Linked DNA regions of Xenopus tropicalis. The protein of the gene in region 2 interacts with the protein of the main gene of each other region in a pairwise test. Links are inferred from orthologs where the notes say so. Each region holds a gene or a part of one and is shown on either strand. Other genes may lie near its edges. The genes, in order: iscu, necab2, kansl1, bysl, ehhadh, nek6 and tex11.

Evidence for each region.
Region 1: the proteins of necab2 (region 2) and iscu interact in binary tests that used the Homo sapiens proteins (3 or more experiments, as listed by UniProt). The two-hybrid records come from large-scale screens. The link is inferred for Xenopus tropicalis from reciprocal best matches to the Homo sapiens genes NECAB2 and ISCU.
Region 3: the proteins of necab2 (region 2) and kansl1 interact in binary tests that used the Homo sapiens proteins (3 or more experiments, as listed by UniProt). The two-hybrid records come from large-scale screens. The link is inferred for Xenopus tropicalis from reciprocal best matches to the Homo sapiens genes NECAB2 and KANSL1.
Region 4: the proteins of necab2 (region 2) and bysl interact in binary tests that used the Homo sapiens proteins (3 or more experiments, as listed by UniProt). The two-hybrid records come from large-scale screens. The link is inferred for Xenopus tropicalis from reciprocal best matches to the Homo sapiens genes NECAB2 and BYSL.
Region 5: the proteins of necab2 (region 2) and ehhadh interact in binary tests that used the Homo sapiens proteins (3 or more experiments, as listed by UniProt). The two-hybrid records come from large-scale screens. The link is inferred for Xenopus tropicalis from reciprocal best matches to the Homo sapiens genes NECAB2 and EHHADH.
Region 6: the proteins of necab2 (region 2) and nek6 interact in binary tests that used the Homo sapiens proteins (3 or more experiments, as listed by UniProt). The link is inferred for Xenopus tropicalis from reciprocal best matches to the Homo sapiens genes NECAB2 and NEK6.
Region 7: the proteins of necab2 (region 2) and tex11 interact in binary tests that used the Homo sapiens proteins (3 or more experiments, as listed by UniProt). The two-hybrid records come from large-scale screens. The link is inferred for Xenopus tropicalis from reciprocal best matches to the Homo sapiens genes NECAB2 and TEX11.

The regions. Positions count from the first base shown.
Region 1 is NC_030677.2:146,313,442-146,317,595, reverse strand, and holds the start of iscu (iron-sulfur cluster assembly enzyme ISCU, mitochondrial), read right to left. Parts: upstream 2,801-4,154; 5' UTR 2,772-2,800; coding exon 2,682-2,771; intron 1-2,681.
Region 2 is NC_030680.2:48,267,409-48,270,908, forward strand, and holds part of necab2 (N-terminal EF-hand calcium-binding protein 2), read left to right. Parts: intron 1-3,054; coding exon 3,055-3,191; intron 3,192-3,500. UniProt on the Homo sapiens protein: May act as a signaling scaffold protein that senses intracellular calcium.
Region 3 is NC_030686.2:17,274,763-17,278,262, forward strand, and holds part of kansl1 (KAT8 regulatory NSL complex subunit 1), read right to left. Parts: intron 1,542-3,500; coding exon 1,400-1,541; intron 1,303-1,399; coding exon 1,189-1,302; intron 770-1,188; coding exon 708-769; intron 1-707. UniProt on the Homo sapiens protein: Non-catalytic component of the NSL histone acetyltransferase complex, a multiprotein complex that mediates histone H4 acetylation at 'Lys-5'- and 'Lys-8' (H4K5ac and H4K8ac) at transcription start sites and promotes transcription initiation.
Region 4 is NC_030678.2:70,761,285-70,765,556, forward strand, and holds the start of bysl (bystin), read right to left. Parts: upstream 2,801-4,272; 5' UTR 2,783-2,800; coding exon 2,524-2,782; intron 1,410-2,523; coding exon 1,247-1,409; intron 1-1,246. Other genes in the region: med20 (mediator of RNA polymerase II transcription subunit 20), read left to right, coding at 2,947-2,960. UniProt on the Homo sapiens protein: Required for processing of 20S pre-rRNA precursor and biogenesis of 40S ribosomal subunits. May be required for trophinin-dependent regulation of cell adhesion during implantation of human embryos.
Region 5 is NC_030685.2:54,570,281-54,574,537, reverse strand, and holds the start of ehhadh (peroxisomal bifunctional enzyme), read right to left. Parts: upstream 2,801-4,257; 5' UTR 2,740-2,800; coding exon 2,666-2,739; intron 1,038-2,665; coding exon 934-1,037; intron 833-933; coding exon 660-832; intron 1-659. UniProt on the Homo sapiens protein: Peroxisomal trifunctional enzyme possessing 2-enoyl-CoA hydratase, 3-hydroxyacyl-CoA dehydrogenase, and delta 3, delta 2-enoyl-CoA isomerase activities. Catalyzes two of the four reactions of the long chain fatty acids peroxisomal beta-oxidation pathway.
Region 6 is NC_030684.2:29,198,623-29,202,122, forward strand, and holds part of nek6 (serine/threonine-protein kinase Nek6), read right to left. Parts: intron 3,331-3,500; coding exon 3,190-3,330; intron 1-3,189. UniProt on the Homo sapiens protein: Protein kinase which plays an important role in mitotic cell cycle progression. Required for chromosome segregation at metaphase-anaphase transition, robust mitotic spindle formation and cytokinesis.
Region 7 is NC_030684.2:44,770,466-44,774,463, reverse strand, and holds the start of tex11 (testis-expressed protein 11), read right to left. Parts: upstream 2,801-3,998; 5' UTR 2,746-2,800; intron 785-2,745; 5' UTR 769-784; coding exon 729-768; intron 1-728. UniProt on the Homo sapiens protein: Regulator of crossing-over during meiosis. Involved in initiation and/or maintenance of chromosome synapsis and formation of crossovers.

The DNA.
Region 1 (4,154 bases), on a different chromosome or scaffold from region 2:
AGAGGTGATGTTAATTTAAACAGTTAAAAAATATGCTCTTGAGTGTAATGCAAATAATTCTGAGGCCTGTAATTACACTGGGACAGAAACACAGCAATCTGTATAAATATGGCCAAGGTTACTTGGCCATCTTCTGTGCCCTCTATGATTATGTGACAAGTGACAAATTAAAAAGAACTTGTGGTCTGAACAAGTCACAAGATGTTTACTTCTGCTGCTAATCTTGTGGCAACAAAAAGTCACACATGGTTGCAAATCTATTACAGATGCCAGGGAACAGTGCCAGAGAACAATGAAACCTACACAAACGTAAGCTTGGCCACAAAATCTGAAAAAGTCTAATTAAAGGAGAAGGAAAGGCTAAATCACTGAGGAGAGTCAAATGTTAGGCACAAGGCACCAGTGATTGTAATCACTTACGTGAAACCCCTGGCTGGTGCTCCTGTTACACAGGCAGGTGAGCGATCCTCTTCCTTCCTAACATTTTGGCACCTACCAGTGATTATAACTTTTGTTCTCCTTTAAATTATTACTAACAAAAATGAATTAGTTTAAAAAAAAAAAAAAAATCTGTACAATGTTTTTTTTTTTTTATTGCTTGCTGTGAAAAACTATGGAGTACAAATGGTACTATTCAGCATACAGAGATACTGCTGTTAATAGTGAAATGTTCTGTCACTATATTGACCCACATTTTTATGCCAGCCTTGTTTACAACGTGAATACAAACATTACATTTCTGTAAAATAAGCACCAAACCACTTTTATTGAAATGCTAGATTTAACCCTGTTTTAGGGAGCACTGCATATAATTAGTTAGATCTAGGCCTATATGGGTTAGGGCAGTGACTCCCAACCAGTGGCTCGAGAACAACATGTTGCTCACCGATCCCTTGGATGTTGCTCCCAGTGGCCTCAAAGCAGGGGTTTATTTTTTTAATTTCTGGCTTACAGACAAGTTTTGTTTTTTTTTTTGCATAAAAACTATGTGCACTGCCAAACAGAGCCTCCTGTAGTCTGCCAGTTCACATAGGGGCTACCAAATAACTAAACACAGTCCTTATTTGGTAGCTTATGTACCTTAACTTTGGTACAAAAGTTTTTGTGTAAAATTGCCATTTGCTCAGTTAGTATATAAGCTGCAAATTTAATGGAAGGCAATGAATGCTGAGCCCCTGTAAACACTTGCATCAGATTTTATCTTGTAAACAACAAACATCTGTAATATCTATAGCACAGGCATCACAGTGCTTTAGTTCTTTCAAGGAGAGTTACAAAGGTCAAAACACCTATCCTGACCCATACTTCATTCCCATTCAAAAGAATGGCAAAATCCCTATCTATACTATGTGCTGTCGTATTAACCATCAGAGCATTTTAAAAGTCATATATCTCTAAATTGTTTTAAATACTTTTAACTTTTACTAAATACCGGTGCCAGTGAATATGGGTGTTTTGGTCTTTACCAAATCACAGGATTGCCCTCATCCAGGAAAGATGTAGTTAAATATAATGTCAGGTCTGCCAATCAACTAGCAGCGAAGGAATGAAACTGACCACCCCCAAGATGAAGATTAGCTATCATGCCACAATCCAAATTGTATGTGTTGTTGACACAGGAAAGCAGCCAAAGGAAATAAAGTGGCACAAATTCTTAATGAAAACAAAAAGTAATTTAGAGATGTATAATTTGTTTTTGACAAATGTGTTTTTGCTTGCCAAAAGTGCCTTGTATGAGAAACTCACAACAGGTATTGACAGAAAGATAGCCATGCATACTTTTAATGATATTTTTTGCAAAACTGTCTATAGGGGCAGAAAAATAAGTCTGAGAATTTGGCATCACAACCACAATATTTCCTTTTCCTGAATTCTCCCGTAAATGTCCCCTCATAACCTTGAAACACTTCAGCTACCGTAGTGGTGCAGTGAATTATATTTATATATGTACATTTGATACTGACACTAAAAAACTACTCTTCAAAATACAAATGTCCACGAAAAGTTGCCTATAGGTCATGTTGCTCGTTTTTTACCGAAAGAGCTGCATTTGTGAGTAATTGTTACTTGAAGTCCTAAACCAGTTTTACCAACCTGACTGTCCCTTCTTAGCCAGTCAGTTATAGCTTGTAATTCTAACGGACAGCATGATGAATACTTTTCTGGCAAATTAATCAATAGCATGCAAAGCCTATGGTATGACAGAAGTAAAAAAAAAAAGAATACATTTTTGATGTCAGTATCTCTTATGGCAAACATGTCTTACTTAGCATAAAGTTTTACCATATTCCCTATACCCTCAGAGTGCTAGAGTCAGTCATTGTCAATTCCTATCAGTTGCTAACTCGGCTTCTCTCTTGAGACACCTTTTCTCTCAAGCCATTCGGGGAAGTGAAGCTGACAACCCCACTGGCTGCTGTTACTGTATTTCACCACAACCGAAGCTGACAGCCTTCTATTAAGAATTAAAACGACTCATGTTGTAGTCCTCTGTAAAGATGGTTACGGTGTTAAAAGATAAACGTGTCGGCTTGCATTGGCAATAAGTACTTTATAGTATGGGCTGCGAGGCGAGCGCTGTCACTGTGACACCTGTGTCACCTTATGTAACACTCGTTTCCTGCTCCCACACTACCCTGTTCCGTATTGGCCCCGTACGCCCCACGCACAGCGCTGCATACCTTCTTATGATAAGAAGCACAAGGCACCCGAAACTCGTGCACCCCACATTTTCTCCATAAGGAGCAAAACACCCGGCCCACGCCAGCCATAGCGTCCTCCACTCGCGCAGCTAGCAAATAGGGACGCGGCGTGCCAACGCCACACAACGTGCGGGTCACATGGCCTGAGGGGGCGTAACCAACAATAAAGTTTGTTGCAGCCAGGTTGCGTAATAAGGTTCAGCGTTCTATTATGTGTAACGTTGAAGTGTGGAGCTGTCATGTACTTGGGCTTTAGCTCATTCTGCAGGGATAAGTTTCTTTTGTTGCCCTATAACTTTATTAGGTTTACCAAGTTCAACCGCAAAGTCAAGGGACTCTTTATGCCTATTATCGCTAACGTGGAAGTGGAATTGATGTAGTTTACATCCAGTAGTGTAATAAAGTAGCGCGATATCGGAGTTGGTTTTGGTCAGTTTTTTATTCCAGGCTAGAAGAACCTTTGTACGTATTTGTCATAGACATGGGTGTCCGCAAAAACTGCGGGGAGGAAGAGTCATTAAGTAAAAAGCAAACTGTGTTTTACGTACGTATTAGGTTTATTAGCAAAGCCTGTAACGCTGCTCGCAACTAATAAGTGTAGAACCAGGGGGCTGTTTAAAGTGATGGCTCACCTTTTATTTCACTTTTAGTTTGTTATATAAAGGCCAATTCTATTAAACTTTTCAATTATATATTCTTAAGTCTTTATTATTTGTTTCCATAGTTTTTGAATTACAGTATTTGCCATCTTGTTCTCTTTGCAGCTTTTAAAAGGGGATCACTGACACCTGAGACAAAAAAACTATTGCTCTGTGAAGCTACAGTTTTATTGTTTAATTCTTTTCTCAAGGAGCAGGTAGCTGAGAAAAACCAAGGACAAGCTGGGCAATATGTTACATTTCAACACCGATCTGGGTCAGGTGTGTAGAATTCTAGGGGGGGGGGGGGCAAGTGGCCTTCCTTGCCTCTTTTTGCAGAGGCCTATGGCCATGGACAGTTTGTGCTGGGCCAAGTCGGCTGGGCATCCTAGGCAACCCAGCCAGCCACCTCACCCCTTTGCATGCATGCATGCATGTTGACTACTGGGGAGGTAAATGACGAGTGGGAAGTGGGAGGACAAGAGCCCAGACTAGTGACAGGTTACATTGTACCCTGGGCACATGCCTCTTCTGCCAGACCCATTTCTAGCCCTACAGAAAGTCACTATATATTGGGCTGGTGCAGGGTTGCTTGGGCCTCTATGTGCTTTAAATCAGGGGTTCCCAACCACCGGGCCGGGGACAGGTGCTGGGCTATGGGCTGTGCTGAATCGGGTCACCTCTGGTCCCACACAGCCATGACAACAGCTATGCAAAGCCCAGGAAGCTTTCTACTGATTGCTACAAGGACCAAAGTACTTAAAGGAGAAGTAAAGGCTACCAAAGAGTTAATCTCAAGCTGCAGGCTTACCTT
Region 2 (3,500 bases):
GGTCGGTCCAGGCAGCAGACAAGAAGGGTCAGGAACAGGCAAGGTCAATACAGGCAGCAAACAAGAGAAGTCAGGTACAGCCTAAGGTCAAAACACGGCAGGAACAACACAGGAACAACACCCAGGAACTCACAGGAGGAAAGCCTACGTTGGGCAGGGATTACAAGCAACAAGCGCCTTAAATTTTTGAATTTTGGCGCCAAAATGACGCATGCGCAGAGCGACGGACACGAGCGTGCATGCGCATGCATAAGCGAACACGCATGCGTGTTAAAAGGCAGCGCGCCGTGTGCACACGTGCCTAGGAAAGGACGCCAATGGAGGAGGCGGCGGCGGCGTCCCCACCGCCCCACTAGACCACCAGGTACCTTTATACTACATCATCAACTGGGAGGATTCAGCTTGCTGTTTGCTTCAAAGAGTTCCCCCTCCCTCCCATCGCATGGTGTTGTGAACTAGATAGCAGGCAGGCTTGATATTTCCATTGCCTGCCTACTTCAAAGGGCTTCCCCCCTCTCTGCTCTTACCACAAAAAATTAAATAGCAGGCCAGCTTAAGCTTTCCCGTAGCTGCCTGCCTGCTTCTAAGGGCTCTCCCTCCCGCCTCCCCATTACACATAGACAATGGAGCTGAGCTTTTCACACACTGGCTGAAAGCAGAAGGTGTGTTGCAGGTTTGTGATTGGGCATATTTATTCACTTGGAAGGCATTTAAATTAAAACATGGAAGAAGAGAACAAACATGGCTGCTCCGTGGGTCTGAAATTCGTGCTACCATAATTATGAAGCGATTTAGTTGCAGATTTAGTTTATAAGGAATTTAAAGCTGATACAAATTAAAATACAACAGCAGGTGTAAAATAAAATTTTAAGTGGCTGTCAGTATCACTTTAATATGGTAGGGATTAGTGATAAGTGAAACTTTTCACCAGGTTTTGACACAAAATTGACGAAAATTTGACAAAAAATTGTCATCCGTTGACTTCAGTGCATTTTGCCATTTTGCAAATTTTTTGGCAAAGCGAAACGGAACAGATTCGCCCATCACTAAGACCTTAGATTGTAAGCTTCTCAAGCTGGCCATACAGGCACCAATATAATCATACAAAATGTACCTTTGTACGATTTTCAGACTGCATGTGGGCTCAAAATTATCATCCCGATAATTTTAGTACCATGGCGATCGGTCGTTTAGTCGATCGGACAGGTTAGAAAATTTCAGTCAGATAATGATAAAATCTGCACATGTATTGCGTATCTGATGCTATACTTGGGGGACCTACAATGCATAACCAGGAAGTCACTTTCATATAATTGGTGTCTGCCAACTATTTCATGTTCATCCTATTTTTAGGGATCAATTTCCGAACGTTTGTTGGAAGACTAAAATCTGTACGTGTATGGCTATTTTTAGGGGAGTTGTGAATGATTTATAATCTATGTAAATTTGTTGGTGCTATATAAATAACATGAAATAAATAAAAAGTAAATATAAATCTGACAAGGACCTTATACAGTCATGGCCAAATTTGTTGGCACCCCAGAAATTTTTCCAGAAAATCAAGTATTTCTCACAGAAAATTATTGCAGTAACACATGTTTTGCTATACACATGTTTATTCCCTTTGTGTGTATTGGAACAGAACAAAAAAGGGAGGAAAAAAAGCAAATTGGACATAATGTCACACAAAACTCCAAAAATGGGCTGGACAAAATTATTGGCACCCTTAACTTAATATTTGGTTGCACACCCTTTGGAAAAAATAACTGAAATTAGTCACTTCCTATAACCATCAATAAGCTTCTTACACCTCTCACTGGGAATTTTGGACCACTCTGCTCCAGGTCTCTCTCCTTTTCCCAACAGCAATTTTAAGATCTCTCCACAGATGATCAAGGGGATTTAGATCTGAACGCTTTTTGACTTATGTTTGGGGTCATTGTCCTGCTGGAAGACCCAAGATCTCTGATGCAAACCCAGCTTTCTGACACTGGGCTCCACAGTGCAACCCAAAATCCTTTGGTAATCCTCAGATTTCATGATGCCTTGCACACATTCAAGGCACCCAGTGCCAGAGGCAGCAAAAACTTTCATCAATTTTTTCTCTTCCGTCCACGCCCAGAAAGATTAGCTACAGTGCCATGGGTTGCAAACTTCTTGATAATGTTGCACACTGTGGACAAGGGCAAATCTAGATCTCTTGTGATGGACTTGTAACCTTGAGATTGTTGATATTTTTCCACAATTTTGGTTCTCAAGTCCTCAGACAGTTCTCCTCTCCTCTTTCTGTTGTCCATGCTTCTCTCCTTTTTATCTGCTTTCAGGTGTGATTTTTATATTGCCCACACCTGTTACTTGCCCCAGGTGAGTTTAAAGGAGCATCACATGTTTGAAACAATCTTATTTATCCACAATTTTTAAAGGGTGCCAATAATTTTGTCAAGCCCATTTTTGGAGTTTTGTGTGACATTATGTCCAATTTGCTTTTTTTCCTCCCTTTTTTGTTCTGTTCCAATACACACAAAGGGAATAAACATTTGTATAGCAAAACGTGTTATTGCAATACTTTTCTGTGAGAAATACTTGATTTTCTGGAAAAATTTCTGGGGTGCCAACAATTTTGCCCATGACTGTAAATGGAAAACTTGCCACACTGATATATTGACGATTTTTAGCCAAATATCGGTTGGCCATACTCTTCAGTGTAATTGGGAAGGACTGGGAGGACTAAATTGGCAGCTTTTATCAGTCACCTTGACATTCTCTAACCATATTTCATTGTAATAGATTCATTAGATTTAGATATTAGATTTATCATATACAAGTGAGAGGGCTCAAGGTCGGACACATTCACACCTCCCCCTGTCCACCCATCATGTATACAGAAAGCCATGATATTTTGCAAATTGGGTGATATCAGATTATTGAACATTGTCTGAACATATTTATTGTCTTTTCTATTTTGAAAATCTGCAATTTCTGTCCTGGTGTTCACAACAAGGGTATATTATGAGATTGGGACAGCATAATTCTCTGCTTGCCTTTGCTTCCCAGGTATATGAAAAGGGTACCAATGTGGACCAATTTGTAACTCGCTTTCTTCTGAAGGAGACAGCCAATCAGATTCAATCACTTCTAAGCTCAGTGGAAAGTGCAGTTGATGCCATAGATGAACAGACAAATCAGAAAAGGTAAGTAACTAAAACTCACATACGGTATTACCCGTTAGCCTTCTACATTTGAAAAGTATTGGAATATGTTGATGCAGTACTGTTCAAGGGAAAATACATGCAGTTTATCGGTAGTTTTTCTCTTTCATGGATTTTACATTAGTGAAGAACACAATCCAAAAAACTTATGTTTAAGAAGAAATATATAGATGGCAAGTTCATTTGTTAAGTTCCCCTTAAAAAGTAAAGCTGAGAGTTAGTGATATGATGTGATTTTTATAAATGCATCAGGAAAATATTACAAATACAAACAGAAAATGTTATTGACAC
Region 3 (3,500 bases), on a different chromosome or scaffold from region 2:
AGTGGAGAAAAAAAGAGAAATACGCAGGGTGAAATAAAAGAATGCCAAACATCACATTTCAATACAGATACTGCCAGGAGCCTGAAATGCTTCCATATACAAATAAAACCTTATAGTAACAGCATTAAAACCTGCATATGAAGAATTTGGTAGCCTTTGCCGGATTCACCTCTCCAACAGGGGCATGTGAAACTAATATCCCCCACCCTGCTATGGTTTAGGCAGGCTTCCTTGCTATCAAAGCAGTTTACCACCTGGGGCTGCTCATTCAGCTGACTGTGCCGATAAACACACGCCAATGAAATAACTAAGGCTAAGACTAAGGGGAGACAGGAGCCCTCCAAAATGTTCTGCAAACCATGCATAATCTGCAACAATCTCAACTCACATAATTTATACATTTTTGGAACTAGTCCATGGACGTGAAGCAATCTCTTCCTCATTTTCTATTTTTCCCTTCTTCATTGGTGTTTTACAACACTTGTAGTATTTATCGGTCCTAAAAGAAATGTCTGCCCCTCTGATTTGCAATTTTTAAATGCTTCACTATTAACCTTCTTACTTGTGAGTTAAGAAACATAGATCGGTCCTTCATGCTTTTAGATTTCTTCCTTTTTCCTTATTGAAACATGTATGTGTGTATGTATTATATTAATTTATATAAAATCCATACAATAAGAAAATACAAAAAAGATACTACTACTTACATGTTAACAATCCCATTAATCGGTCTTTGCAAGGACTTGGCTTCTGTGGTGCTGGAATCAGCCTATGAAGAAGCACAAAAAGTTGACGTCCTTGTTAACAAGAAAAAAAATTAAGCCATGTTTATTGTTTGGTGCCCTGAAATGAGCCAAGTGTGCAGGACTAACATGCTTATTTTTATTCACGTGGTGCATGGCTGCATACACGTGTCAACAGCAGGGGGCGCTAGAGAACAAGAAACAGACGCAGGGAATTAAATCCACACAAAAGAGACAATCACATGACATTAGCTATGACATTAACCCCCAACTGACTGTGGTTAAGACATCTGCACGCTTATTTACAGGAGGGAAGTCTGCCCTTTCCTGCAGCAAAATACAAGCAAATAGCCACCATGTGCACAAAACGATAGTAGCTTCATTTTTATACCCACCCCCAAATCCACTCCTCAAATATGCTGCTCCTCACAGAACCACAACTCACCCGCCTCTCTGCATCTGGTGAAGGAGAAGAGGACGTTCTTGAGTCCAGAAGGGAAGAGCGCAGAGGCTCCCCAGCTGTTTCGGAAGGACATGCCTCCCCCAGGACCACTTGCCCCTAGGGACAAACAGACAGGCCATATGTTAATAGCAGATTCACTGTGCATGGGGCATTTAGAAGAAACCAGCCCTATATCACCTCCCTGGTTCCTTACCTTCCCTGAACGGAGCTGTCGGTAGAAATCTGTATGCTGGCGAATCCTGTACTCCAGGTCGGAGACATGAGCTTGCAGCCAGTTCCATCGACTCACCACATCCGCACGCTCCTGGGCCCAGCTCCATTCACACCGGCGCTTCCTGCACACAAATAAAATGATGGGAGATCGTATTTAATTGTCCCATGACTCCCTTAACCATTATCCTAATTAACAAGGAATAAAAGTTATGACTGTTCCAGTAAAATGCTGGCCAGTTGAGTTGGCAGCTGGTATTTACTGCTATATTAGGGTCACCAACAGAGCGCTTATCCGCAGTATTGTGCTCTGTGCAGGAGGTACCAAGGGTGGCACAGCTCTATGGCATCTCTCTGGGTTACAGGCTATGACAAGACCTAGTTGGTCACACCCAGCCAACACGGCACATACACAATTCAGCCCCCAGGCCAAACCATTCAGAAAGGTACTAGGGGTGGGTCTATTGTGACTTAACTGGCTCTTCCCTTTCTAGTGGTGTTTTGGTTATAATATAAAGGAGCAAGTAATGCCAACAGGCGCTCTACACTCAATGTGACAGGAGCAACAGAAACTAGCAGAGAAGTGTCAGGAGATGCATCTTGCACAAGTAAATTAAAGCTTTTTGCCTTTCTGTCTTGCATCCACCAGAACACAAGGGCAGGGGGCTCATGATATCAACAGTGAAAAACTGCTAATACAATAACACAAAATTGCCCAGAAAAGTATTCTGAGTAACTATACATGGATTGGTATGTGCCCAGTTAATGTAACATAATGCAAACAAAAGGACAGAAGGCCAAGGTTGTTTGCCCCGCAAAAATTAATCACTTTCTAATTGTTTTGGGCTATTCCTAATATTTTGCTTCTTGCACACTCACTCAGTGGCAAAATGCTGGCTTATGTATGGTAATCACCTGATCTGCAAGCGCACCAGCAGGGTACTATAACCATCAATGGAGAGGCAATTCCTAGTATTCTGCCACCTACCCACCAAGCAGAAAACCAGTGCAAATAGCCTCATGCACCACTTCCCTAAATGGGTTTGACTCTTTTATAAGAAATTGAAAGGGAGGGTGGGCAGAATGGCTTTGGAATTGCTATATATTAAGCAGAAGGAAGGCGTTTGGCGAGTCACTATGTAGTAACCAATCCTCCACAATGAACCTGCAGTCACCCAGATCCCTTGGTAAAAGCAGTCTGTATGTGGGAGGGAAGTTCAATGCAGCAAAACATCTGAGTGCATGGAAGCAGCTGTTTATCCACTTGTCCTGTCGGTGGGGGCTACGCACCAAAAGCAGAGGCCTATTTTTCATGGGCCTATAGGCTGCCATCTTGGTCAGAATGGACAGGTCAGCATCTTTTATTGGCCTGTGTATGGCCAAATTAAAATAATAAATAAATTGCAAAGCTAACTGCCCCTATAATAAACCTTTGAGACCTTAACTAAATGCAGGAGTAAAATGTCCTGCCCAGTAACACTGACTGGATGGGGATCAGGTAATGTTTGTAAGAAAGGCGGAATAGGAGCCCTGAAACATATACAGCTCCTCTGTGCTGGGACCTGGTAAAATTTTGCCAGCACATCCCAGAACACGCCTTATTGTAGGATGGCTTTACTTGCCCTTTAAATATAACCATGAAAAAGTATTATTACTCATTTAACACATGACCCTGCCCGTTACAGAGTATTTAATCATCCACATCAGTCCGCACTACTACGGAACTTTCCACACACAGCAGTGGCCATTCCACAACAAAATCCAGGTTGGGATTGAAATATACATATAGTCAGGCAGCTTAGTAGGGCACAACCAATAATGCCATACTCCTAATGGTGCACACAGCATGGGATGGTTTTTAAGAGGTGATGAATGCATTTATATTTTCCTAGTGCGGGCTTGGGTTGGGTGGGATGAAAGCTGTAATTGTGCAACAATCTTAGGGCCCCAGGATCTTGTATCATCCCCCCACCTGCCTTTATGTTCCCCTGCTGTGGATATCCATGGAATCATGTGACCCTTGTGCTGCATGGCTGGGGGTTCGACAGTCTGTCTGGGGATTTAATAGCAGCTCAGACAGGACA
Region 4 (4,272 bases), on a different chromosome or scaffold from region 2:
GGTTCCTAGAACACTGGGCTGACTTTTCTTTGGGGTACAATCTATACAGCCATGACCGATTGCTCCTTAATGGAATGGGGGTCCATTGTGCTGGGGAAAAAAAATGGCTAAGAGGCTGGAGGAGTGTTTAAAAAAGGCAGGGGGGGGGGGGTTATGGGAAAGCTAGTGTAGATCTGGCAGTGGGATAAGCAAGGATACATACATTTTACCAGCTAAGGAGATTCCTCTGTTACATGGAAAACCCCTAATAGTAACCTCAGATCTAACTCTTAGTTCTGTAATGTAAATATTAGAGGGAAAAATAGTAACCTCCACGGCATGCTGGCAAATGCACAGAGCTTGTCAGGGAAATTAGAAGAGCTGGAGTCTATTGAATGTACTGACAATTAGGATATAATTTGTATCACTGAGACCTAGTGAGATGAAACAAGTGACTGGGCTGTGAATATACATGGTTACACCCCTTTTAGGAGGGATAGAGGGATTAGAAACAATGGAGGGGTTTGTCATTATGTAAAGCCATATACTAAAGAAATTAGCAGAGACAGCAATTCAGTTTCATTTTGCTCTACTGGTTGCAACTATAGGTAAACTAAGCATTCATTCACACTAGGGATAAATGGGATGACTCAAAACCCACGAGAACCAAGCCCTAGAAGCGGGTTTAAGAGGGTGGCAGGTAAAACTGCAACCAGGTGATGTATTAATTCTAACCCATCTCCTGTGGTGACTGGTCCCACCCATATAAGAGTCATCGGAGAAGAACCACATAAAAGTTATAGTAGAAGCTGGGTTGGAAAACAGCAGGTTAGGGTTGAAAATGTTATGAATCACTCATCACTAATTTGTTTTTATTCAAAATCATCTTTTGACTAAAATGTACATATCCAGACCTGTTAAATTTCACAAATGATAGTGTATGGATAAAGTTCCGTAATCTTTGCTATAAAGTATTTCTATTAATGATTATTTTATTCAGGGGCTGGCCAAGCCGACCGGGCACCCTAGGCAACCCAATTGGCCACCCTGCACCCCACCTCTCATGTGTGTACATGAGAAAGTGCACTGACATCCCGGGTAGGATGCGAGAAAAGCAGCTGGGGCAATAGTGTGTGTACTAGGGGGTAGGCAGAAGAGGTAACTGTCACACCCCCACATCGTTGCTCCCTTCTGACTACCCCAAGTTCTGGCCCGGCTTTATTTGACCCATGTAACCCTTGGCGTCTCCAGATAGTTGCTACTTTACCTTAGTGGAGGGTTCTTATTCATAAACATTTCCATTGCCTTTTCATCTTCAGGGTTAATTTGTACCTCCTCGTTGAGGGTACCTTTCTCCAGACTGGCTGCCTTCTCCAATGAAGGCCACTCATCATCTTCAGAGTCTGAACCCTCTGCTCTGTTCTTGGAATCTGAAGGGCAAGGATTTACAAAAGATAATGATTGATTTGCCAATATACAAGCAAAGATAAATATGAAGAAATAATGACCTCTAATTTGTAAATAAGTTAATTCAGACTGTACTTAGTGAATGCTACAAGGTCTGTTTCTGTGGAGCACCGGTTCCAAACAATTCCCAGGGTAGGCCCAAGAGAACATGAAATATTTGTAATGCGAGTTAAGGGTCACAGTCTGAATACATTTAGTGCATGTTAGGCTATATTACACACTTTTTGTTCTAATTACAGCTAGTATAACTGAGCATACTGTACCTTGTCATGGCTAAATAGAACTAGAAAGCAGCACTGCCTGTATGGTACCTTTAATTTAAAAAGGGTCCTAAAAACATTTTTGATAAAATCAAATCTTAAAAATTAAGATGAAGGTGCAGTGTACAATCCATTTTTGCACACATGATTCCGGTCTTTTATAACATATACACTAAAGTATATATGCTATGTGGAGTATAATCATTAAAGGAGAATGCAAGTCAAAATTTAAAAAGCATACTGCCCAATAGTCCTCCTATTGTTTAGTAAAAATGCCACACTTTTGGCTCACCTAATCAAATATTTACTCAGTCACACTTACTTCACATATTCTAGAACAGGCAGCCATCTCTAAAAAGGTATTCTCCCTTCCTTTCCCTCCTTGCTTCATACTGCACATGTGTTTGCATGGAGATGCATCAGCATATAAAACAGCACATTAGATATCCTTCATTTTATCACAGAATGAAGTTAGCAAATTATTTATGTACAACTTTTCAAATATTCTTATATGTGTATGACTGTATCATATTATATACCTGGAATGTTCAATTTGAACCAGCTAATGAGCATTTGAGCATTTCTTTGGCCCCCAGTAGACTTTTTTTGCATGGCAAAATTTCAATATAATCTGGCCCTAAATGGATTACATTAATGGATTATTAAGACTGTCCCATACTCGTTTCTATGTATTTACAACTACAGCACTAGTTGTTGGTTATGACTCAGTCTAAAGACTCCCCACTGATTTTATATACCGGTTTAAAAACTTTTGTTTTGTATTCTGCCTTGGAAATGTTTCTTTACCCTTTTTTACCTAAAACAGTTGTCCTCTCTTTAGGGGTCACATTCCCCAGACTATATTCGGCCTCCAATTCCTCCTGCTGAATACGGGCCTGCTCCAGAATCCTTCGGGACAATTTCTCGTCCACGTATCCATCATCTTCGGCGTCGTCTGTAGGTTTCCCCTTGCGCTTATTACGGAACGAGGGTCTAATTTCTCCCTCCTGTTCGATCTGATCAGCTAAGGGGAGTAAGCGAGAAGCAGCTCCCCGAGAATTTTTGTGCTTTGGCATTTTCCTGACATACACGTGCATAGATCCACACACTGCGCATGCTCCTATTCCCCTGGCATCGTACGCCTCGATGTGGGACTTGCGTGAACCGCAAATAATGACAACAATTTTGAGCGCCGTGACGTCATAACACGTCGCTGTGTTTTGTACAATTAAGTACCAGCATGGGAGTGACTTGGTAAGTGTTTGTCATTTTTAATGTAGTAGTAGAAAAAGAAGAAACGTCATTTTGATGTTTGCAGATACGTGTTAACTTCTGGATTGTTTTTATCTTTTGTAAACTAAGTTTACGCTTACTTATTTGCATGACTGCTGCTTTGTTAATTATAGAAAAACGGAATCCTACGAATTCAACACTGCAGTGCAGTATCACACTAAGAATGCTATGGGTAATAGGGAGACAGTTAAAAGATATCCTTTTTTAAAAATCAACACTGTAAATATAACCTGTTGAAAATGTATTCTGCCTCTTATTTTCAGGATTTTTTTTTGCCTTTGTTAAGGAATAATAGAATTTTTTAATGATAATTTTGAACCCCCAATAGCGTTGCTGGTAAAAAAAAAAATGTGCTGGATGCCAATGTTATTAATAGGGTATAAAGTTATGAATATAGGAAGACTGATATACTATACCAAAATATATCTGTCTTATGTTTATCTTCCTTTCTTATAAATAACATTAACAATAGCCATGATTTCTTTTTTTGCCTAGGCAGCAACCATACTTCCTATTGCTGTATGATTGCCTTCAGCCTGCATCCTCCAAATGCCACCATTGTACATAACCCACAATGCATTGGAATGCTCCAGGAAAAGAAAATCACAGTAAATTGGATATAGATTTTCTCTTTTCCTGTTCACATTCTCATGGCAGTCCGCACAATTGGGAGGGAACATACACATACCAAATGCTGCAAAATACTTTACTTTTTTATTCAAAATCTGCAGAAGCAGAAACATTTTTTAATGCTTCACAAAAATATTAGGACACCTCCAAATTGCTGCTTTGAAAATCTTTTCTGGTGACGCTAAACCTTTGAGTGCCCATGATGCTGCCATACTGGATACATCTTACAATATACATGCCAGTGTTTGCTTAGCTGCACTGGTAATATGAAGAGAGATTTTGTTTTTCTTAACTTCTTTGCCCTCTTTAGAGTCATCTTAAAGGAACAGTAACACCAAAAATGTATATATTTTAAAGAAATTAAACTATAATGTACTGCTGCCCTGCACTGGTAAAAGTTGTGTGTTTGCTTCAGAAACATTACTAGAGTTTATATAAACCCTGCTGTGTAGACATGGGGGCAGCCATTCAAAAGAAGAAAAGGCACAGGTTATATAGCAGCTAACAGATAAACCCTGTAGAATACAATGGTGTCTTATCTGTTATCTGCTATGTAACCTGTGCCTTTTCTCCTTTTTTCCTGCTTGAATGGCTGCCCCCATGGCTACACAGCAGCGTATTTTTATAAACTATAGTAGTGTTC
Region 5 (4,257 bases), on a different chromosome or scaffold from region 2:
TGTGGTTTGCTACTTTCACCTTTTACAGTGAAAGCCTACGGCCTAAAAATGTTTGTTTCACCTGCCCTCTGGGACTGCATTATTTGAAGAGACAAACTTTATGGTTTCCTCCCCAAGGCATAGCACTTGTAAGCCAACAAGAGAAAATTATCTGTAATTCTGTTATGAACTTTGTGCAATTAAACTTTATTTTTAAAGCAGCAGCATACAACCAGGGGTTTCTATTGGAACAGTTTGGCACAGTGCTGAGTAGCCGCATGTAGGAGCAAAATTATCAAATAGTTTGCCCATTACTATTCAGTTATTCATAATCCTTGTACATATCAGATACCAAAAGGCCACTTTAAGGGGAAATTCACACAGATGAGGACCTAATATTATTTCCAGTGTTCTTATGACAGGGAAAGTGCCAGGTATCACTTCCAAACAACAACTCCACCAAAACTAATACTGGAGCTCATTACCACAGTTTGACTATTGCTGTTATATGCTTTTATTCACTGTTGTTTGTAACCTGCCACAGCTTAGTGGCAGAGCAGGTAAACTGAAATGGTAAGAACCAGACAAAGCCAAATAGTTTTGTTGCTATGCTGACTGCGCCCAGATGGACGCCTGTCCCGCTGATCTTAACATCTTAGTAGATGCTAAAGTGACTGCACCTTTATATGTGCCACACGATAGTGGCACGATAATGCTAATTCCAGACCTCCTCCGAGAGCCACTCCTTCAATGGCAGCCACCACAGGCTTCGTGGTGCTTTCTATTTCAGCATTTATATCTTCTAAAGATACGGTTCTCCGAGCTGCAGAACTAAACTCACGGATGTCTGCTCCTGGGGCAGTAAAGAGTGTATTAGAATATGGAATCACCTATTTTAAAAAGAAAATGATAGCACAGATCCATCCAGTGACAGAAAAATAAACACAACCATACCTGCACTGAATTTTCCATTTGCTCCACACAGGACAATGGCCTCTACCGATGGGTCCTTTTTGACCTCTGCCAATTCCTTGATAAGTGCCTGACAGACAGGAGTGCTATGGCAGACAAATAAGCACAATATATGGTAGCAAATAAAAGCAAATGGTCCCTCTTTTGTTGATTTATTAGCCCAAACATATTCTCAAGGAAACACACAAATTGTACAAAAACCAACGCACCTTTAGCTAGCAGACTTCAGTTCTTTTGTGTGTTGTGTGATAGAGCCACCATATTAAAAAGAATTATTTATCAGTGAACCAGTTCACCCAGTAGCCATATTTTAATGAAATGGCAATATTTAGTCCAGCTTTACAAAAGGATATTATTGAGCCCTAGCATCTCTCAAGATTATGACTACAATATTACAGATGGAGCAGGCATTTCTTATAAGTTACTACTGAACACAGTGCATCTTTAAAACCAGCTTCATCTATACATTGCCTCTTTACAGGGAAATACACATTAAAGGTGGCCATACACGTTAAGATCCGCTCGCTTGGCGAAGTCACCAAGCAAGCGGATCTTCTCTGATATCCCCACCTATACTGGGTGAATTTAGGCTAATTCGGTCGTTTGGCCCTGGGCATAAGAACGATGGTAATGGGCGCAGTTGGTTTGGGGACCACATCAACTAGCCGATGCGGTCCCTGATCAGACTAAATTTTTTAACCTGCCCGATCGATATCTGACCGATTTCAGGCCAGATGTCGGTCGGGCAGGCCCGTCGTTGGTGCCCCTACATGGGCTGATAAGCTGCCGAATCGGTCTAAGGGACCGATATTGGCAGCTAGAATCGGCCCGTGCATGGCCACCTTAAGCCTAGATTTCACCATTTCATATTTCTTGTTCATTTCCTGCCAAAGAGATATTTACTGCAAGTTACCTTAGAGCATATTCAGGTAAAGTTGCCACTTTGTCTATTAATATATATTGCCCAGTTTATATGCTGATAAATAATTCAGCTACCAGCAATTTCTAAATTACTCTATATTTCTCAGAACTGCACTTTCTTTACCATGCACATCCCAGAAAAATACTGTCCATGAAAATGGACAGCCAAATGCTGGTAATGCAGTGCAAGCAGTGGAGGGCTGCAGTATGGAGATACCGGTCACCTTATAGAATTACTCTTCTAGAGCACTGGAAGGTACTGGGGAAACAGAGGGAGGGATGCAAAATAGGAGCCAATTATAAGGCTATTAGAAGCTTTCAGAAGGGCGCAAGCATAAAGCGCTGTGCAAAGTGCCATTTTCAGATGCAAATCACAATGTTTTTTATCCAGATTAAGAGTGTAATTGCAGGCACTCTCCAAGTGGCATATACAATCCCTTGTGCAGAATGCACCCATACACATGCAAAGTGGTGTCTATTTTGGTTAGTTTCATCATAAATTCTGAGTTATCTAAGCATGCTCAATTTTGCATTCCAAACCAGAGCATTGCACTTGCCTTAAACTTGCAAATTAGGATTTTGAGTGTTTAATCTGTATTCATAGCTACTGTGGGACTACAACTCCCAGAATTCTACAATGATCAGTGGCATTTAAGGTGTTACAGTTCAGCTACACTTAGATACAAAGGTCGAGAAAAGGCTGGTTTGTACTTCATGGTGTATTGATTCCAGTCCACCACAAACACCTATAGCTGAGGTCCCTTCCCACAACGAATCCAGCTCAACGTCTTACCTCAGCGCATTAACAGGAGGATTGTTGATTTTGATGACAGCCACTGTATGTGACAGAGTCCGTGTGGCAGCCATCGCCGCTGCTGTATAAGTACAAAGTTCAAGTGCACCTACACTTTGAAACAAGAGCCGAGAAGCCCCGCCCCTTCCCTTGATATGTAACGAGTGTTTGTTCCGACACTTGACCAATCAGTAGCTCAGTGGGTGTATCACAAATTGTGTTTGGGTAGAGAGGGAAAGCCATAGCTATGCAGTATAGCAAGAGTAGCATGCTAGTCACTAAAAGCTGCTGATGCATATTTGTGTTTGTTTTTTTCTCTTCTGTAAGGTTTAATATGAACTGCTTCAAGATTATACTAGCATGTATAAACATACTTTGGTGTGGCATATTTGCATGGCCTTGTAATGTTTAAACCCAAGTTAATGAATGGGAAAAGCTAGATTTTAGAAAATTCATTCTTGGGAGAGAAGTATACATCTGTATAGCCGATTTAACCCACTCCCACATTTAAAGAATGATCTGTACTCCACCTTCCTACCAATGCTACTATCTAAAAGATTTTTAGATAAAATTCCCAATATACTCAGATCCTATACCCTAACCTCCTAATTCCTACAACAGTTAGTATGGTACTCCTTTTCTTATCCCTGCCCAACTACAAATTGTATTCCACTTCCCCAACTTGTTTTCTTCATGTGTTAGGCCCTGATACTCTCTTTGTATATCCTTGCCCAAAAGCTTTTTATTTCCCCACTTTATTTTTCAATTTCCTGCCTCTGTGGTTCATTTATTTTTTTCTAGTCCCACTCCAGAGGAGTGGAAAGTTAAAAGGCAAGCAGAAGGCAGCACCTGTGGTTCGCCATCTTGAAATTATAATTATTCGTTCATCAGTATTGCTGCATGGAAGTGACATCACGCACCGGTGCTCACTTGCAGACGTGACGTCACATGCATGCAAAAATGCCCGAATGAAGCCGAAAAATTGCTACCTGCACAGATTTCAATATGAACTTCGGAGGGTTTCAAAAAATTCGTGAGAATGCTATTGGATAACGGAAGACAGGGAGAGAGAAGCACCACGTTCTTATGATCCCTCTGGGCTTGCATGTAAGGCGGAAATTAAAGGACATGTAAACTCCACACACAAAAATGTAATCAGTGAACAGCCTCTTTGAAATCTCTCAATACCTGCCACACTGGTTGTCCAGAGGTTAATACCGGTAGTAAGGCTGCAACATCTCCTTAATCACTTAGATTTGCATCTCCTCCTGTAACCCACTCGGCCCCCTCCCTCAGGAATTTGCTTTGGCTGTTGGCTTGTGGGCATGCTCAGTTGTTGTAAGATCAGATTACTAAACATGCCCCCTAATCTAGCAGCCAGTGAAGAGATGGCATTGCTGGTTCCCATAGAAACTCAGCTCTAGCTGTCTGCTTCAGTTTTTTTCTCCCAACCTTCTCTCCTGAGCTCAGTTCAAACACATCAGAACTTTATCAGAGATAGTTCTGCCTGTGTGCTGCTATTCGCTTTAGGAACATGTGATGGTGCTGGCAAACGGAGGAGATATATGCAGTACAACTAATGCTATTTGGGT
Region 6 (3,500 bases), on a different chromosome or scaffold from region 2:
CTGAATTTTTTTGTATTTTTTACCGAGTAGTAAATGTTTAATGGCTCAGCATTAACATTAATAAACAGTAGTTCCAATCTCTTACTAAATTTAGTTAAAATTTCCTTTTAAATCATCCTTTCCTCTCCATTACACCACAGAATTTGCTTTCCCTAGTAATCTATTAATTTATATTATTTCTTCAATAAAGAAAAGTGCATAGACAGACAGCATTAAGCATAAGAATTGGCTCTTATTGACCAGACCCTCCCATACGGCAGCAGGAGCCATACACAATGTGGCCTTCTGTAAAACTGCCCTCACTATATAAAACGGATACGGTTTCCATTTAAATCATCCTTACACTTTGAAAAGCCACTTTATAAAAAGCTGATGGGAGTTCTGGTTTAAAAGCTGTCTGCAGGCTCCTGGTAAATGTGATCAGATTTTTACATGCATTACAGAGAGGTGAAAACAGCTTGTAAACTACTCATATGGGATTAGCAGATGGACTGTGGTCATCAAGAAGTACTTGGTAACAGCTCCATTTATTTGAAATGTTCGGTACAACTTATGGGGAAGAGGAAAAGAGGACTGACAGTCACATGTTTGTATCTTGTATTATTGTAATTATTTGCTTGCAAACAAGGCACCCTTTCCTTGCTTTTTTCTTTCCATGACCTTTCTTTGTCATTGTAATCTTTCTGTTTTAAAGCCAGAAATAATTTTTAGAAAAAATTTGGATTAAAATGGGAGTCTGTGAGAGATGACCTTCTCTTAGTTCAGATCATTTTGGATAACGGGTTTCTGGATAATGAATCCCATGCCTGGACTTTAAAATAATTCTGCACCATATCTAGAGAGCAAGTTTGGATTTGTTAATACATGTCATTTTTCTGGCAGTTCTTTAGGGATTACTTATATATACATAAAAAAATGTATATATATATATATTTAGTCAAATTGTGTGTCAGTACTGTATGCTAGGTCAAAACATGTAAATACATATATAATAAGGATCAGCACATCAGGTTGCATATCTTCTCTTTATTCACCGTGCAGTCCAACAATCTTGTGTGTATTATAATTAATTATGCACCACCTGTTGTAAAATATGAGGATATAATATAATATAATATATTAGAAGTCACCTTGGAGTTCCATGACCTGTATAAAAGCACCAAGCCTTCAACTGGTTCTTGTATGTGGTCATGAAACTCCTTGGTAACCTATAATATCCCTATTTTTTACAACAGGGGGTACATTATTCACTATATACATTTGTTTAGCTGTTCCCCATTCCCCCATTTTTACAAATATAAATAAGTGCAATTTTCAGTGTATGCTCCTCACTTCAGATACCTTGTGCCCCAGGTCAAATTAAGTTCAATAAATTACTCCACTTTGGAGTAATTTATTGAACCCCATAATTTAATGTCTCTATAAGAGAACACTGCCATAATATAAAGTGCTATAAGAAAAATGAGTAGCGGAGCACCACCAAGATAAAAAACAACCTTTTATTCCATATTGAGTAAAAGGCACAAGTACATCCCCAGAGGACCTAGCGCTTAACGCGTTTCGTGGCCTCCCGCCATTTCCTCAGAAGCACTTTTAAAATTTTGAATTATTTGATAAAAATGCAGTCTATGGGAGATGGCCTTCCTTAATTTGGAGCAGTCTGGATAACGGATTCCCTACCTGTAATACCAGGTACCTGGAACCTTGGCAGATTAAACTGATTTAAAAGCAATGCGCTTTTTTAGAATTTTAGGTTATGTATTCAAATTTTTTGGTACTAGGAATATTTGCACTACATCTTCTACATTTAGCACATTTCTAAATGACCGGCAACATATGCAAAAGTTGTGTATGAAGTGTAACTACCAAGATCCTACCATATCTAACAAAAGATGATTTGAAACCCCCTATTAAAACTGTTTAAAAATTGAACTCATCCATTGCAGGGATAAACTGCAAACATCCATAGATAATGTAAAGATCATTTCTAATGCAATACACATGCACTGATTCAGGAGGAGAATTACTATTAGGCAAAAGGAAAAATTACCCCAAAGTTATCCTGCCGGTTGAAGTTATGTTTAATGACCCGACTGGTTTAGGGACATGGCCACAGGGTGGATTAACAATGGGGCAGATGGAGCCTCTGCAGCTACAGGCCTCTGCAAAAGACCTCAACAGACCTTATTATGAAAATATTGTGCTTTTGTAATAAATGGTGTGGTTCTTGCAGCATTGTGTACAGAAAGTGTGCCTGTGCTAAAGTATGTAAATGTAGAAGCATTATGCATGACCCTATCCCTGCAGTGCAGATGGTGGTGTCCTCATATAATGTATTTTTGTTTTATCTTTTACATTTTCTACAAGAGAGGCCCATTATAATTCATAAATTCAGGCATAATGTGGCCATGAACAGAGCAAAGAGCAAGAAAACTAAAAACAAGCAAATTCCATTAAATTTGCTTGTATCATAAACAAAAAAAAGAATAATTGTATGTGACTTCAAAATAGTAAAGAATAAAGCCATTTATGAATAATAAGGCCTTGTTTAAAAGGTATTGCCTCATAAAGCCATGCAAGTATTGTATCATTTCTCATATATATATAAATATATACATGAATATTAAAACATACCCTTCATTTAGGAACAGGTTGAAGTTTATCCATGGATTCCTTGGAAAGCATGAATTGAAAATAAAGCAATAAGCATGGCCTGTGTTATTTGTATTGAATATTTGTGTCTCACATACACACATATATCTCACTATTAAACCTTATCTCTCTGTATATTTCCCTGCACAGTTGATTAGTCGCCACTGCCTGCATAATTCTTGCCAAGTTTATAGGGTCCACCACCCAAAACTAATTTTGCCTCTGACTAGAGGAGACCTGACTCCTGTAACATTATGTTTCAACTGCAATTTACAAACTTTAAACTATTATTTTTTGTTTTCAATTAGAAAGTTGCTTAAAATTACAGTTTCTTCCACTATTTTAGACTGTGTGCAGACACACGGAGCTAAATTTTGTTGCGGAAAATGCATTTTTCTGCCAAAATCCACTCTGTATATCTGAAGCCAGGCCAATGCAGTGCCTGTAAGTGCAGGCACAGGAGCAGACAGAGGTCAGTGGGATTGCGCGGCCTTGTGTGAGGATGGAAAAGGCCCAGTGTTTCCAAGCTTTAAGTACCTGAACTTTTTTCAGGGCCACAGGCTTTCTGTCCAAGTGGCAGGTGGCTCTGTAGACCTCACTGAATTGCCCCCGTCCGATCTTCTTCTCTATCTTGAAGTCTGCCAAATTGCACCGGTAGGGATAGGAAGTCATGTGTCTCTGTAAAAAAGAGAAATAAAACAATAAGTCCTGTATGTGAACTATGAATAGTTCCATGGACTTTTTAACCTGTTGCTAAATTATTACTCCCAGCTCTCTTCCAAAAGTCTGTCAGTGATAAGGCATGGCACTTATACTTGATACAGGGCAGCTGGTTTGGCACCCCTATT
Region 7 (3,998 bases), on a different chromosome or scaffold from region 2:
TCTATGGGGGCACTCGGGGGCACTGTGTATTAGGGGTACTGTCTATGGGGGCACTGTGAATGGGGGGTACTGTCTATGGGGGCAATTTGGGGCACTGTGTATGGGGGGTACTGTCTATGGGGGCAATTGGGGCACTGTGTATGGGGGTACTGTCTATGGGGGCAGTTGGGGGCACTGTGTATGGGGGCAATTGGGGGCACTGTGCATGGGGGGTACTATCTATTGGGCCTTTGGGGGCACTGTGTATGGGGAGGCAAAACTGGTAGATAGTTATAACTCACTTATAACTCTCAACTGACTGCCTTCTCTCTATATTTGTATTTTATATGTAGTTGCTATATTGCTTTCCTTAAGTAGTACAGTATGAGGGTATAGCACACTTGCGGTGGTAGTTGGGGCGTGGCCACAAAAGTAGGCGTGGTCAAAAATTTGCTGCGCTGCACGCCAAATCTTTTTGTCCCTCTTTTAATTTTTCAAATGTTGGGGGGTATGCAGATGCAAGAGCACCAAGTAGTACAAAATCATATTAATTTACACATCTCTTGCATCCAGAGCACTGTTGTACTCTGCATTTTGCTTAGGATTAAAAATGTATTACAGGCCAAAGGTGGGCTGCCATAAGGGAAGAATGTGTGCTTATTTGTCAGTGTTTACAAGTATATTTTATTTCATTTTAAAAAAAGCAATAAATGTCAAGCAATGGGACCATTTTTATACATGAATGTTACCTGTTATTCTTTTCAAAGACGACCCATCCTCCATTTTCATCAATCAACCAAAACCTCTAGAGAAAGAAATTCATTTAGCAGATTATAGAGCCCAGGAGTACATTATTATGCGCACAGAGAAACATTACAGGGGTTATACATTAGTCACATTAATCTGTGCCCCAGTGGAGTTTACAGTTTAAGGTCCCTAGTTTTCAGGTATGCTGAAGGTATTAACTGAGGCACTGCCCATATCTCCCAGAGTCACAGTTGTTTGACAGACGGTCTAGAGGCCTGAAAAAGGGAAGGGGTTTTTCAACAAATAATGGGTTAAAGGAAGATTTGGGAGTGTTGGGTGTAGCTGAGTGTGGCTAGGATGAGCCAGGTGTGGGACTAATTTGGTCTGCATTTGGAAATTTAAATGTTGGGAGTTATACTGAATAAGTCACATGTAAATATGTTTTTTACTTTTTAGGGAGGTTAAGCTGCCCTAAATCTTTATTTTTGTCCATTTATGCTAGATATCTTCAGGGCAGCAGGATGTCTGTTGACACACTTGAAACATCTGTCTGCTGTGATATCTTACTCACTGATCTGTTATAACAACTAAGGGTGTATGAATGTATGGGGGATGTAAGGGGGGTGAAGGGCCCACCGGGGGGGCAGGCCCCCCAACCCCCCTCGCAGGGCCCCCCACCCGACGTCCTACCCCGAGAGCGTAAATTTAACACGTCAGGGGAGGAGTGGTCGGGTAGGTGGAGCGCTGCAAGAGTCGGGTCTGGGCCGTCGGGGCCCACCGGGATTTTTCCGACCCTGTATGTGAATAAAGTTGTAAAGATTCTGTGAATGTGGCTTTAAATAAATGGTTCCTGACTTCATCTATAAGTGCTGTGTGGATCTCCAGTTTATTCCACTGTGGTATTGACAGGGATAAATCATTACCCTCCCAACAACCATTTACTTCACCAGTTGCAAATCAGTTGCATCCAGCGCCGGATTTGTGTTCCGTGTGCCCCTAGGCCGCCCCCCCTCTCCTCCCCGAGCGCGCATGTGCGAACTCCACACCCCCCCCCCCGGCAGCGATTGCGCATGCGCAAATAGTTCAACTCCAATACGGAGCAGTGGGGAAAGGTCCCCATTTCTCCCTATGGGTGCAAAATTAAAAAATTTTGTTGCGGCGGGGTGGCATGCTGCCCCTAAATTTCTGCCTCCCTAGGCCCGGGCCTTTGTTGCCTCTCCACAAATCTGGTCCTGGTTGCATCTGTAGGTACAACAAGCTAAAGCCATAAAAGTAAAACCTTTCGTCACCACATGGTAATGCCCCATATAATTCATTAAATCAGGCTGAATCAATGCATTTTCACTTGTGCATTAGGCTGATGGCAGACGAGGCATAGGGCGGATATTTTCGTGAAGTGAAAACGAGGTTTGTACGATATTATCGGTGTGTGTATGGCCGGTTTAAGGGTAATAGGCATGGCAAAATGCAGCGCTATCTCATGAGGGAGATAATAATCCAGTCCCGGTGTTTTTAGGCCTTCACGCTTAATGATAACATGAAATAAGGTCTCAAAAAGGCCTGAAATTGCTTATTATCTCCCTCATGACATGGGGTTGGGTTATTTTCTGCAATTCGCTGGGGGGGCAATTCCAGTGTTTCATCTCTCTACACCTCATGACTGAGCTTGAAAGGCCCTGTCTGCTATTATATCTTATAATACACAAACCCTTATATAAATTCACAACGGCATGTATATTCTCCCTCTCACACATATATGCATAAAATATTTTGTTTGTATAATCCTCTCACACTAGAATTGCCACATTCTGGAAAACAATTACCAGTCTCCCTATGTTTGTATGTTTTGCCAGGCGGGCAGGTGGCAACACTACCTCTCACACACAGGCACAGATATTATAAAACTGTCACACACATGCACAAACACACACATTTGCATTCACAAGTTATACACCATCCATACGGACTGACAGATTCTCACATATCTACACAAACAGGAAGAGAACCTGCTCTCTATACCTGAGGGGATTCCCTGCTCTCTATATCTGAGGGGATTCCCTGCTCTGATTCTCCTCACAGCTGCTTATTAAGGAAGGGGCGGAGCTAAGTCCCAGCCACAGAACCACACAGTAAAACAGGGTTACTCAGAGTGAATAGCCCAGCAGGCTGGGCCCATTACAGCAAGATTGAAGCCTTACTTAATTTAAGCTTTTTTTTTCCTACAGAAATGCTCAAATAAAGAAAGACAAAAGCATATTTCTTACTATGAGGGATAATATTTATGTAGGCAAGGAGTAGACTGAGCATGTTCACTGTGAAGGGAGTGACATCTGGAAAATCTTCATGTCTGCTTTATAGTATCACAGAACAGCAAAACAAAGCAATGGCATGAACAGATTAAAAAAAATTTCACTGTGACCTTCACTGCGACCTTGTCTTTCTATTTGTCAATATGTAATATATGTCAATAGGGATAATGTCTCCTCTGTCAACTGTCTAATATTTCTATTTCAAATTGAAATCATGGAGTCTGAACTATGTTAGTAAGAACAGGATTACATGAGTCCATATACACAGGTCCCTATATATAGGGGCTAGGGCTACATTTATTTCAGCATGCTTTGCACTTACATTGCCTCCAATATAGTCTGGCAACTTCATTTTGAGCCTCAATTCTGGGTTTGTTTAGAGAATGATTAAGCTGTACAATATAATGCTGCGCAGTGACAGTGTAACAAAGTTCTTTCTATGGGACTGCCATCCATGTGCACCATTTTATTTAGCACTATTATGAGTAGTAGAATGGTGTCAAGTATGATTGTCAAGGACGTTGTTGCTATCCTTTAGGGCTCTGGCACACGGGGAGATTAGTCGCCTGCGACAAATCTCCCGTGTCTCGGGCAACTAATCTCCCCGAAATGCCATCCCACCAGCGAAAATGTAAGTCGCCGGTGGGATGGCATACGTGGCATACTGAAATCACGCCACCGCGTATGCCATCCCACCAGCGATTTACATTTTCGCCGGTGGGATGGCAATCCGGGGAGATTAGTCGCCCGCGAACAGGGAGTTTTGTTGCGGGCGACTAATCTCCCCGTGTGCCAGAGCCCTAAGGGTGAAAACACAGTGAGCTACTAGTAGCAGCTACTTTCATGTTTACTTAACTCCAGAAATGACCTTGCCATAGACAATATTTAGAACTGCTTCCGCTAAAACACACATAAAGACAATTATCAGTAAATGATTAGCATTGTCTATTTTAGTAGCCACAA